3 linked regions of the Daphnia pulex genome follow. The protein of the gene in region 3 purifies or fractionates together with the protein of the main gene of each other region. This does not show direct contact. Links are inferred from orthologs where the notes say so. Each region holds a gene or a part of one and is shown on either strand. Other genes may lie near its edges. The genes, in order: growth factor receptor-bound protein 2, uncharacterized protein LOC124188642 and epidermal growth factor receptor-like.

Region 1 (4,177 bases), on a different chromosome or scaffold from region 3:
TTCTTGACCTTTGGTCAAAGAAGTTAAAGTATCAGCAGCCAAAGATCCAAGTTCCTCTTGCTCAGCCTGTGAGGAAAAAAAAAGATACAATACAGTTGTGATGAAAATCAATAAAGAAACCAACCTTGAGCTCTCTAATGAATCCCAATTGTTGACTAGAACTGGCCATGAGTTTGTTGACTGTCATTTGAGTCAGTGCTCTAAACTGTTGTTGGCGGGCACCGTAGCACACTGATCTTGCTCTATTGGATAGAATATGGTAGGCATTCCAGGTGTCGGAATCCATGTCAGAAGTACATTCCCTTAAAGTCTAAAAAATATAAACTGGTTAGCTACAACTAGCTGAAGTGATACATTAATTAGAAAACTTGCCATTGAAGAGGAGCATGGGTAGACTCTCCGCCCTTCCAATCTTGATTGGCAGTTTAAAAGATTCACACCCAACTTAGACAAATCTTCCTCTGAGAGATCATTGCAGTCTTGCTTCAATTGAAGGATTAACTATAAACGAGTTCATTAATATTAATGAACAGTGAGATTGTACTTTGAATCAACATCAAAGTACTTTACTTACTTTATGCTGGCAAACATCCAGCTCGCTCAGACTAAGGTCAGTATATTTCTGTGCATCGGCAATGAATTTTTCATCAGCTACAGACAGCTCAAATGGAATATCAGACCTTGCTTGCACAGCACTCTCATCAGGTTCAGAAACTTCAATCTTATCATCTTCTTTTGCTACAGCCATAAGCTTATCAAATTGTTTTTCACTACTCAAAATGTTAAAAGGGGAGCTGTCTCTGCCTAAAATCCAACCTACTAAACTAGAATGACTACCAGTTCCTAGGAGAATTATGGCCACTAAATATAAAGTTATCTTCATTTTTGTAATAATCACAGTGCAATATAAGAGAAAATCATCTGACAATAATTGTATAAGATTGTAAGAGGGTTTGGTCGATAAAATTAGTCAAAAGGAACTGCACGTTGCTTTTCTAAATTCAAGTCCGGACTGGTCTGAATCTCTGGGTCGAGATTCCTTTTGAAAACCATTTGCATTTATTCAAATGAGGCAGATAACGTTGCCACATTGCTTTTTCCAAAAGAATTCGACGGAAATTTAAATATTTAAAATCTTAAAATATTCATCTATTATGTTGTATTATAAAAAATGTATATTCCTGTAATTGAAATAATATTTTAAATAATTTCAGTCATTTGGAAAAAAAATAGTTAGAAAAAATAAAAAACGTTTACAGGCACGCAAGCATTTACCTTTAAAATTCCATTGGGAGAAAAGGACTGGTGACGCTCGTGCGTCAAAGCCAAGAACTAAGTTGTTTCCCAAAATTATGGCTGTCTGGCTTTCGTCGGGCCCCGAAAACAGTGTATAGTTAATCAAACAATCGTGGATACGGATACGTCAGTTGATAGTCAATATTGTCAAACAATTTGTGGGAAATGCTATTCGTTTTTGAGTTTCGAGAAGTGTAATTCGACTTTGAACGAAGTCAAAACATTTTGGTGATTGGCCAACAACCGTTTCACTTGATAAACGTAGCCGTGGTGCACATCCGGCCTAGCCTTGAAAAGGAAATTCCTTCTCTGAAGCTTGTTTTGCCAAGAAATACTTTATCATCTGTGATTTCATAAAACGTGTTATTTTCGAGATGGAGGCCAATTCTAAACATGACTTTAATGCCACTGCTGAAGATGAGCTTAGTTTTCGAAAAGGGCAAGTTCTCAAGGTAAACCAAGCAATGATGCTTTCAACAGAATTTAAGGAATTTTTGCTTATAGCAATATTCTAACCTGTTCATTTGATTCAAATGTAGATTCTGAATATGGAAGATGATCTGAATTGGTATAGAGCAGAATTGGATGGAAAAGAAGGGTTGATTCCTAGTAACTACATTGAAATGAAAAATCATGAGTAAGCCTAGTTGAAATGTTTATGATAAAATAATGCATATTGATTATAACTTGTTGTTTTATTTTCTACAGTTGGTACTATGGAAGAATAACCAGAGCTGATGCAGAGAAACTCTTGGGCAACAAACATGAAGGCGCTTTTGTTGTTAGAGTCAGTGAGAGCTCACCGGGAGACTTTTCCCTGTCTGTTAAGTATGTTATCTAGTTCTTAAAATAACAATGTGATAGATTTTGTTTAGAAACATAGACAGTGTAAATCCTTAACCAAGAGCTCTAGATAGTTTAGAAATGCCCCATAGGAATTCTTCTACTATGTTTGATGTTATTATTTGCCTATTCTCAAATGTTGTTGAAATCTATTTGTGGCATACCAGACTACTTATCATTAGAACATCTGAATGAGATAAGTTGACATCTATTAACTAAGCTTGTAAGTCGTTAACTGCCTAAAACGGGAAGATTTCTCAAAATATTTATGTAGAAATAGCACATTATAAAAACATATTGAGAAATATCGCTTTGCATTCAGATATCCTGATTAGACGCTACACGTACATTTGAAGCGTGAAAAGAATTTCAAACATGCAGGCTTTCATCAGTGTAAAATCAAATATCTTATAATCTCGCTCTCCAAACTGTACGATACAAGTTCTACCTTACTAGGAAGACGCGTTTGAATAGAAAATTAATGAACCGAACGTACAGTTTATTTCTATTTCCCTCAAAGAATCATGGGTATTTGGTTTTCTGTAGAAATTTGATTTGATCACGCAAGAATTCTTTCCAAATGCAGTGCATGAGTCAACCTGATGACGCACACATCCGTTTACATTCCAATTTTATTCACTTCAAAGGTGGAATGAATCTCAATTGTCTATTTTGTTTTACCTTAAAAAAACAAAGACAGCTTGTAAAATTGGAACTCGTGCAGTGACTACCCTTTGCTTAAGTCGTGACTCGTGATTCATGAACCGTCAGTCCTACTGTTTTCAGTAATTAGTTTTATCCTTTTTGGTATTTTATTAGCCTTGTTAGGCGTGTCTAGGGTACATTCTGTTTTCTATCTGTTAGGCCTTTTCGTCAAGTTCCCTTACCACTGAGCCACCGTCCGTAATCAAGCAACTATATATGTGCCTTGAACCGGAGTTTTGCATCATTTTTAGTTTTTACAATTCTCTCATCGCCCTGCTGTGTTATTTATTCCTTCTTGAGGTTTTTGCCCGTTAAGTTGTAGGATGAGTGTGTTTTGTTTATAGCTAAGGAAGCCATCATCCTACTTCCTTGTAGTTCGAAATTAGTTTGAAATTTACACAATACTTTGTTACGTGCATTCTGTGTTAATAGGCTATTCTCTATTTTTTCTTTCTTGTCTCGCAGATGTGGCGATGGTGTCCAGCACTTCAAAGTACTTCGCGATGCCCAAGGGAAGTTCTTTTTGTGGGTGGTAAAATTCAACTCGCTCAACGAACTGGTCGACTACCATCGCTCCACATCTGTTTCTCGGTCTCAGGATATAAAGTTACGAGACATGGTGCCTGAAGAGGTGAGTTACCAGTTGTTCTTTTTTCCATGCCTTTAGGCTCAGGATTGACTAACAATTGTTGTGTGAATTTTCGACAGTTCTTGGTGCAGGCACTATACGATTTCACCCCGCAAGAACCAGGTGAATTGGAATTTAAGCGAGGCGACGTCATAACTGTGACAGACCGTTCTGATCAACATTGGTGGACTGGAGAAATTGGCGCCCGCCGCGGCCTCTTTCCTGCCACTTACGTTGCCCCGTATCATACTTAAAAGGCGAAGGCACTGTTCGTTCGTTTTCTTTTGCTCCTTTTCTTTTCTTCATAAATTTTTCTTCATTTTTTTTTTCTTTTTGTATTAAAGTGGTGCGTCCGTTCTTAAGACTCAAGTTATTTTTGCCGACTTCGAACCTAAACACATTACTAACTTTGATAACAAAACAGTAAAAGTGATGAACAGCTAGGATTGACAGGATTGCATCTCATTTCTCATTGAAAGCAGTTTGTAAAATTGCTTTCTTTTCAGTTTTTTTCCGTTTATGTTGTTCTAACCTCGATTTTCGACTGTATTTCCCCTCAAGCACACAGCTTTCGGGATTGCCATTAGATGTGGCTTTGGTCGAATAGTCATGTTGGAGCAATTTGTGTGGTTTTGATTGCGGAAAGATAAGTTAACTTATCCATAACGTCGACAACAATTACTGGGCTATTAAGTTTGCCCGTCA
Region 2 (4,111 bases), on a different chromosome or scaffold from region 3:
TGCCGAACTCCTCGTGCGGATGAGCATCAGAAGGAGGATGGCCACGACGGCGGCCAACAGGATGAAGAGGCCGGCTCCCAGTCCGGCTATTTGGGCGCCTCCCAGTCCGCCGACGACGGGCGCTTGGACGTCGACTCTGAGCGTCAGGTTGACTCTGGCCAGTCCGGCGGCGTTGGCGGCCACGCAAACGAATTCGCCGCTGTCGGTTTCTCTGGCCGGACTCAGGATGAGATAACTGGTCTTTTCGTACTTGCCCTCCTCGAGGATGATGACGGTCCGTGTCTCGTCGGACGGATATCCGTCGCCTTCGGCAGTTTCTCCGACAGGTAGCGCTTCCGGTTCGCCAGGAATGCTTCCGTTGGCCATGGGACGGCCGCGCCACAACCAAGTGATTTCCGGCGAAGGAACGCCGCTCATCCGGCACGTCAAAGTGGCATTCTCGCCGGCCGAGGCTTCGACGTGCAGGTGCGGATGTCCGCCGCCGGCCAGCAGCGGAGCAGCTGGAAACGGAATCACTTGAGGGGCGCATGCAAAGTCGTCGACTTGGAGTTCGATGAGGGCCCGGCCGGCCAGCCTTTCGGGCAGGGCGCAGGCGGCCGTGGCCGGGCTGGGCACGTTGTGCTGCTGGAGCCACTCGCGCAAGTAGCGGAGTCTGCAGTCGCAAATCCAAAAATTGTTTTGCAATTCAAGTCCGTGCAGTCGACTGGGCAGCGAGGAGACGACGTCCGGTCTGAGCTCTTGCAGTCGATTGCCTCCCAGTCGCAGATGGGAGAGCTGGTCGAGTCCGTCGAATGCACCGGCCGCGAGCGTCTCGATCTGACAGTCGGACAGGTCGAGTTTGACCAGTCCAGGGGCCTGGTCGAAAGCGCCCTGCTCAATCTTCTGGATGGGATTGGAACTGAGTCTGAGCTCGCGCAATGAAACGGCATCGCGCAACGCCTCGCTGGGCACGTCCGTCAGCAAATTGTCGCTGATGTCGAGCTCAATTAGGTTGGTGAGTCCGCGCAGGGCCGTCGGGTCCACCTGGCCGATCCGACAGGAGGCCAAATAGATTTTCTGCAAGTTGAGGAGATTGGCCCTGGAGAAGGCCTCGCGCGGCAGGGTCTGCAGGTTGCTGCCGGACAGGTCCAGCACTTGAGTTTGCGGATCAATGTTGGACGGCAGGGTGATGAGACCGCGCTGGCGGCACTCGACCGTCTGCTTGCCGCCCTTCCACTTGACGCCCGGGCAGGCTCCGGCACCTCCGGCGGCCGACATGACCACCATCCATGTCGCACACAGCACCAAGATGGCATTCCATCTCTCGACTCCCATCATAATAGTCCACGTGCTGCTTCGGCTTCTGCTTTTGCTGCTGGCCATGATATTTTTAGCTTTTTTAATTTCCTCCCTTCTTCTTCTTCTTCTCAGCTTTTCCCTTTTTTATTTATTGGGTTGCGCCGGAGCAGACAGAAGAGGAGACCTTGTCTCGAGTGCCTTAGATATTTTTGCCCTTTTAGTAAAAAGGAAAAAAATAAAAAAATATCTACCACCAGGAAATGGAGGGTACGTCTTGCGTTATCAACCGCAGTCCATCAGGGATCTCTCTCTCTCTCCCCCTTTTTGGGGGAAATAAAAATCTAACACACAGAGAGAGAGAGAAGCTTGAAATGAGATTGAGGGGTAGTAGTGGGCGGTGTGTCGACTCGCTTAAAATGGGGGAGAGATAGTCGCAGTCAAAAGGAGAGAGAAAAAAAGAGACTTCGGACGATGATATTAAACAGAGACACTTGAACCACCACCCTCGAGTCTGAGCGAATCGATGACGACACTTGACAATTGCAGCATTGGGGTGACTTTGCTGCCTCCTCTTTCTTTTCTTTCTTTCTTCTTTTTTTGAGATTTTATTTTGAGATTTTGTTGTGTGTGTGTGTCTGGAAATGTATTTCTCGCCACTTGTGAAAATGTCCGGACGTCGGTTTTGTTTCGTTTCGTTTCTTCTCACACAGCCGAAGCGAAACAACAAGAGGGAGACAGTGTGCGCTGTTAAAAAAGAGTACACGAGCCCTAAAGAGTCAAGGCTTTTGAGGATCGAGTGCAGAGGTGAAAGGTGGGCAAAAGTTTTCCTTTGGGTTATTCCTTCCTGTTGTGTGTCTGTGTGTGTGCGCGTCTCCTCCTCTTGCGTGTATATCCAGACGCGACGACAAACGTCTCGAGCGGAAATCAACTTCTTCTTCTTCTTCTCACAACGAGCACAAACACAGAGACACACATTCACTGGCGCACACAAACACTCGTGAGTCGGGAAAGAAAAAAAAATTGGAGGGGGGCTGCTGCCGAATTCTTTTTCTTTGATTCTCAGTCGCCCTGTGCTCTCTCTAGTACTTCATTACGACGCTCGTCGTAGCCGAAAGAAGAAGAGAAACGGCCTCGAGGGAGCGACAGGAAGTTGAAGAAGAAGAAGCACCAAATAATAATAACAACGTCGTCTCAACGGGGGGAGGAAAGAAAAAAAGAAAAAAGGAAAATGGGTAACTTCACTGGCAGATGTCCGTCAACCGACGCCAATAGATTTCGGCCGTCGTCGAGCGTGTCAGTCAATGTGTCGCACTTGTTCGCGGTCGATTTCACTCAAGTGAATCGACTGAATTTGTGAATTTTTAACCAAAAACTTTTTTGTCTTTTTTCTTTCGATCGGGTTTTTGAAAAATAAACTGCGGGGTAGAGGGGGGAGTAAGTGATGGGCGTCAAACAAACTGGAGTGTCTTGTGCGTTGGGTGTAGCACTTTTGGGCTACGTGAAAATCGTAGCGGAAGCTCATCCGCAGTCGGTGAGCAGCGAGCGCGGAGACGAGACTGATGTTGCACTAGGATCGGCAGGTTCCTTTTCCCCTCCACAAAAGCCCCCCCACACGCTAAGGACCACCTCCTTTTTCCGAGCCTCCTCCTCCCCAATTTAACCCAACCGACGCTGCAGCTGCGGTGGCCGCTCGTTCCGGAGGGCAGCCCATGGCACAGCAGCAGCGTCGTCATCTCGTTTTGCTGTGCACTAATGTTCGCTTGACGTTCGTTCAGTTTTTTTCTTCTCTGCTCATATCCTTCCTTTCTCTTTTTAGATTTTTCTTTCTTCCCTTTACTCCTTTTTTTCGGGGTTGTTGTGTGTACTGTGATTATTGTTATTATTACTATTATTCCGTTCCTTTTGACTTGGTTCTTCTTCTGCTTCTTCTTCTTCTTCGGGTCTTCGTGCGTTCGCATCCGGCCCAGCCCTCCCCCCGCCATTATCTTTCCTCGACTTTTGCGAGTCTGAAAAGCAGCTCGGAAGGTGTACACTGGCGCGGTGTGTAGTCGACAAGGAACCGGCAAAGACAAAAGATTGTTTAGCTTCTATTATTCCTCGAGCTATATACCCCCAACTACATTCTACACAAAGTCTAAGAAGAAGAAAACAAAAAACCAACAAAACCAAAAATAAAATAAAGACGTGGTTTTTGTTTTGATCTCCTTTTATGTGTGCGTTTGTCCTGCTGCACACATGTACGTATACTACTACTCCCGGTCGTCCTAGTCATCGTCCTTATTTTTTCCGGGGTGGTCGGGAATGCCCTTATGTTGGTGGCCCAACTTTTAGATTTTATATGAAAAAAGAAGAACGAAAAAGAAAAAGAATAGGGAAATCCTTTGCCAACAATGGATACGGGGGGGGGGGCTTTGCGTATACGTCCGCAACTCGGTTCATTATCTGCATCGGCTTTTTTTCTTTTGGCATTGAGATGGACAAAAAAATACATAACATACCAAAAACACACAACATACACAGAGTCCCGGCCGCCGTGTGTGTGCATTTGACGTTATGACTGGAACACATGCGTCAGAACCATTGCCAATCGCGGAGTTTCCCTTGGTTACAACTTACAACGACTTCGAAAACTGTAAATCCATTCCCTTTACTTCTCCCCCCCCCCCTCCAACCTTCCTTGATTATAGAAATTAACATTCCAATTTCACGCGGTGGCCACCGAAATTGCGTCTCATTTTTTTCCCTCTTCTGTCAATGTTGCGGTGGATGGTTTTTTTTTTTAGAGAGAGAGCCGCGGAGTGTAGCCAATTTTCTATTTTTCTTGATTTATTTG
Region 3 (4,069 bases):
ACCATCAACATTGAGGCCTATTTCATTTGAATCTTATCAGAGAGAGAGCCGGCAAGTTTTATATATTCACAGATATATCCTGGACTTTGTGCTAAAAGGGTTGGCGACAGTCGCCTCACACCACCAAACTTTCAAGAAATATCAACCTTTTTGGGTTGGAAATATCTCGGTGTTTGATCTCTACTTAAAATAACCCTCCCTCCCCTGTCCTTTTTTTTTAACCAATTTGAATAGATATACGGCAAAGAAGGTAAAAAAGGAAAAAGGTGGAAATTGGGATGAAAAGTCAAGCCGCTCGCGCGCGCTTTCCAAGATGGCGGCGCCTGGAAGTCAGGAGGCCTCTGGATGGAGGAAGGGGGAGAAAAAATAGAAAATAGAGAAGGACGCCAGTAGATGTAGAAATCTGCCATGTGTTTACCTGTCGGTGTGTCTATATAGCCGGCAGCCATTTTTTTAATTTTTTTTCTCTTTTCTGAAGAAAAAGATAAATTATTCTTTTCTTTCTTATCACATCTAATACCTTTCTCACCTTTTGGTTAGTTCTTTCAGCTGCTGCACAGGTTTTTCCAGGCACACATAGACGAGACGTTCGTGAAAATTAGCGCCGACTTGTGACTTTTTTCACCTTTTTTCTTCTTCTTTTCCCGTTTGAATGTTATTTGGAATCTGGGTGTTATTTTTATTTTATTTTAAGAAAATGTCCAGGCCCTTTTTTTCACCTGTTTGATGACTACAGCAGACGACGATGGCTATCGAACCTTATTCGACTGCTGGTATAGATCGGCACAATAAGTTAAGGGACTCCCAAGTGTCTTATAACTTGGTGTGTTATCTGATGACGCAAGGCTGAGCACACCTTTGCACGTAACAATCGGACACTCTTGAGCAATACGAGTCGATCTGCATAAAGTGAACAGAATTGACTCGGATCAATTTCGATTATTTTTAAAAAATAAAATGCCGAATAGAATAGGAAGAAGAAGAAGGAAAAAGGGGGGGAAATGTACAAGAATGGAAGAAGAAGAAGAAGAAAATAAATAAAAAAAGGCCCCAGGGCAGACTCTTGTAACTACAGGTAGAAATAAAAAATGGGCAAATAAGAAAAGGAGGGAGAGCTACAGGTAGAAAAAAGGTAAGACGAGGCTTCTCTCTCTTTCAGGTGGTGGTGGGGGGGAAATGAGCGACTGGCTTTTTCTCAACTTCAGTCTCGAGTTTGTTGTCCGTGTGTCGAGGACGTCGTCTTACCGACTCTCACATATAAATAACATTTTTTAAATTTTGGTGTTGTGTGTGTCTTCTCACCTGTGTGTGTGTGTGGTTGGATGCCTCAACAGATTGTGTCTATAGTGAACAAGTTCATTTTTTTAGTTTAAAGTGAAGACTAAATAGTGTGGGAGGCTTGGATTAAATTGAAATTCGGTTGGATTATTTAACAGCGGTAGGAGGAAGAGTTAGGAGCCAACAGGTGAGATTTTTTGGTTTGATTTTTCGATGGCGCTAAATTTGAATTTGATCAATGGCTCGACGGACACAATTTAATTTATTAAGATCGGTTGGGATTAGAGAAGCTCAACAGGTGTGATAGACGGGCAGGATCGACCTTGGCCGTCGTCACACAAAAAAATAGATAAAATATGTCCAGCAAACAGATTGATGGGCAGCCGAAAAGGTCGTGTGAAATTCATTTCGTTTGAGCTTTGGGGAGGAAATCAAATGAATTTCAACTGGGCGAGAAAGTCTGTTTGAGCTGGGCTGGAAAAAAAATGTTTACGAGGTAATGATTCTCCTAGCTATCTAGCTAGCTAGGTATTAGGTTAGAGACGGCCATGAAACTAAGCCAAGTGGACGAGAGAGATTCTCCAGTCAGATTCTCTCGCAGTTCAATTTATCTCGGCCCGTCTGAACTGTGATGCGTTTGGTGCCATGGCAGAATTAAACAAGAAGAAGAAACATATATACATTCCTCCTTGTGGTGGAGGGCCGGCCGAGCTGCTGCTGACTCATCTGCGCTTCTGGCTCTTTTCGTGAAGGAGGGCGCGTTCGCCGTGACTTAGCGGGAAAGAAGAAAAAAAATAAAATATTCACCTGCTCAGCTCTCACAGCAGCTCAGTGTGTGTGTTGCCTTTTGGTCCGTCTGTGTACGTAATGACAGCGAAAAAAAGAAAATACTTGGCAACCATCTCATCATATCTTTGCTGGGCAGACGAATAGGCTTTCCAAATTCGGCTGGAAAAATATTTTTTCTCTTTTTTCTCTTTTGAAATTGATTGTCTCTGAGTCAGACGGCCCTGCCCGCGCATTCATGTCACTCTACAAACAACAAAAAATAGAGAGTTGAACGCGTCTGGGAGAAAAATATAAGTTGACTGGGCCGGCCAGCCACCCCTTATAGACGGAATATGTCACTTAATTGGGAGTCCAGACGGACAACTCTCTTATTTTTTTCGTTTGTGGTTGTTGTTTGTTGTCGTTTGATGTGATTGGAAATTCGCCTCACGTCCCGCTCATTTTTCACCGTGGCGACGACGGGCGACGAAGGGCCAGCCATTTTCCCCTATTAGGATTAGATATTTTTTGGTTGGGTCCATCCAGGACGAGACGGGCCATGTTTATATAAATAAAAAGGGACTCGTCTACTACTACTACAAGTCACCCGCTGCTGTCGTAACTACCTGCGACTTAATATCATCATCAAGACGGGCAGCAGCTGGGCCAAAAAAACAAAAAACAAAAATAACATTTTATTTATTTTTATTTTTATTTGACCAGAGGGGGTTGACAGATGGCCCTTTGTCTCTGTCTCGTCCGATTGTTTTCATCTTTTTTATTCCCATTTTTAAAACGGAAATGTCGGAAATATATCTCACACAATGTCCGGCTCTTTTTTAAATAAAATTTCCATCTTCTTAGTATCAAACGGATGGAATAGAATTGCGTTTGGATTGAGACGTGTGTTTAGAGAAATAGCCCAGACTTGATGTAGAGATCAAGTAGAAGAAAAGAAGCTGAACGCTGGCCTGGAATACCAATGACTGGGCGACAAGATAAGACAGGGAAAAAAGCCCAGAGCCACACAAACGGTAGAAGGAGACAATATAAATCGTCGCTCATTTGTTAGACATTACATCAGAGAATGGATAGAAGAGAGAGAGAAGCATCCGTCACCATGTCAACCCGTTGAGAGATTCTTTTGCCCGGCATTTCTTTTAAAACTATCGCCAGCACCTGTCCGTTTTTTGTTTCCCGAATGTCTAAATCGTCGTAGGAATTCGACTGGGAGGGGATTCCAATCATCCGTATAAGGTCCGTCATCCGCTGGCTCACGACGGTACCTCATCAAGAGAGAAACGGACAATGTTTTTCTTTTTCTTGCCCAGCTTCTTATATTTTGTATAGAGTCCGCCGGGATCGTAAACATCACACGTTTCTTTCTTTTGGCTCCTGATGCTGCAGGGCCTCACTCATTGGCCCGTCATATCGTTGGCGGCGGCAATTTAGAGAGACGGCCCTGACGGGCGGCGGCCTCGTATAGCAACAGGAGAGGATCGAGTATCTTTGATGTACAACACACACAAGTCCAGGGGGCTCAATTCACGGCCGCAGCAGCGGTCGTGCAGCCGCCCGATGGAATGTCTCAGCTGCTGCCGGCCCGTCATATAAAAATCTCAACAGCCGGCCAACTCTATATACTATATAAGATAAAATATAAAAGTCCCAGCATAGCCTCATCATCATCATCAGAAAGATGGCCAGGTCTTCCACTCTCTTTTCTTCCCAAATGGCTTCATTTGCATCTGGCCGGCCAAATGTCTTGGCCGTCAGAAAAAAAAAATGAAAAACAGAACAAGTTTAAAAGAAGGTACGACGACCTTGTCGTCATCTTACATTGGAAAATAATGATGATGGCCATTTTCTTCTTATTTTCCCAGCTGCTGGGCAACATGGCGCCTAGCTTCTCTTGTTGTTGGCCCAGCTCACACAACTACTTGGTGTACATGTAATCACTGTGTCCAGCTGTTTTTTTTTCTGCCCCCTCAAAGGAAAAATGTTTCTTCTTTCCAGGAGGAAC

The links.
Region 1: the proteins of epidermal growth factor receptor-like (region 3) and growth factor receptor-bound protein 2 purify together in Drosophila melanogaster (affinity purification with western blotting; 4 studies listed by BioGRID, with this or other methods). This does not show direct contact. The link is inferred for Daphnia pulex from reciprocal best matches to the Drosophila melanogaster genes Egfr and drk.
Region 2: the proteins of epidermal growth factor receptor-like (region 3) and uncharacterized protein LOC124188642 purify together in Drosophila melanogaster (affinity purification with western blotting; 5 studies listed by BioGRID). This does not show direct contact. The link is inferred for Daphnia pulex from reciprocal best matches to the Drosophila melanogaster genes Egfr and kek1.

What each region holds. Positions count from the first base shown.
Region 1 is NC_060028.1:9,115,122-9,119,298, reverse strand, and holds the start of growth factor receptor-bound protein 2, read left to right. Parts: upstream 1-1,274; 5' UTR 1,275-1,670; coding exon 1,671-1,748; intron 1,749-1,835; coding exon 1,836-1,933; intron 1,934-2,004; coding exon 2,005-2,124; intron 2,125-3,309; coding exon 3,310-3,475; intron 3,476-3,552; coding exon 3,553-3,726; 3' UTR 3,727-4,177. Other genes in the region: protein brambleberry-like, read right to left, coding at 1-66, 125-310, 373-501, 575-883.
Region 2 is NC_060018.1:5,469,847-5,473,957, reverse strand, and holds the start of uncharacterized protein LOC124188642, read right to left. Parts: upstream 2,854-4,111; 5' UTR 1,363-2,853; coding exon 1-1,362.
Region 3 is NC_060021.1:730,383-734,451, reverse strand, and holds the start of epidermal growth factor receptor-like, read left to right. Parts: upstream 1-1,206; 5' UTR 1,207-1,465; intron 1,466-4,069. UniProt on the Drosophila melanogaster protein: Receptor tyrosine kinase, binding ligands of the EGF family and activating several signaling cascades to convert extracellular cues into appropriate cellular responses. Known ligands include spitz, gurken, vein and giant-lens.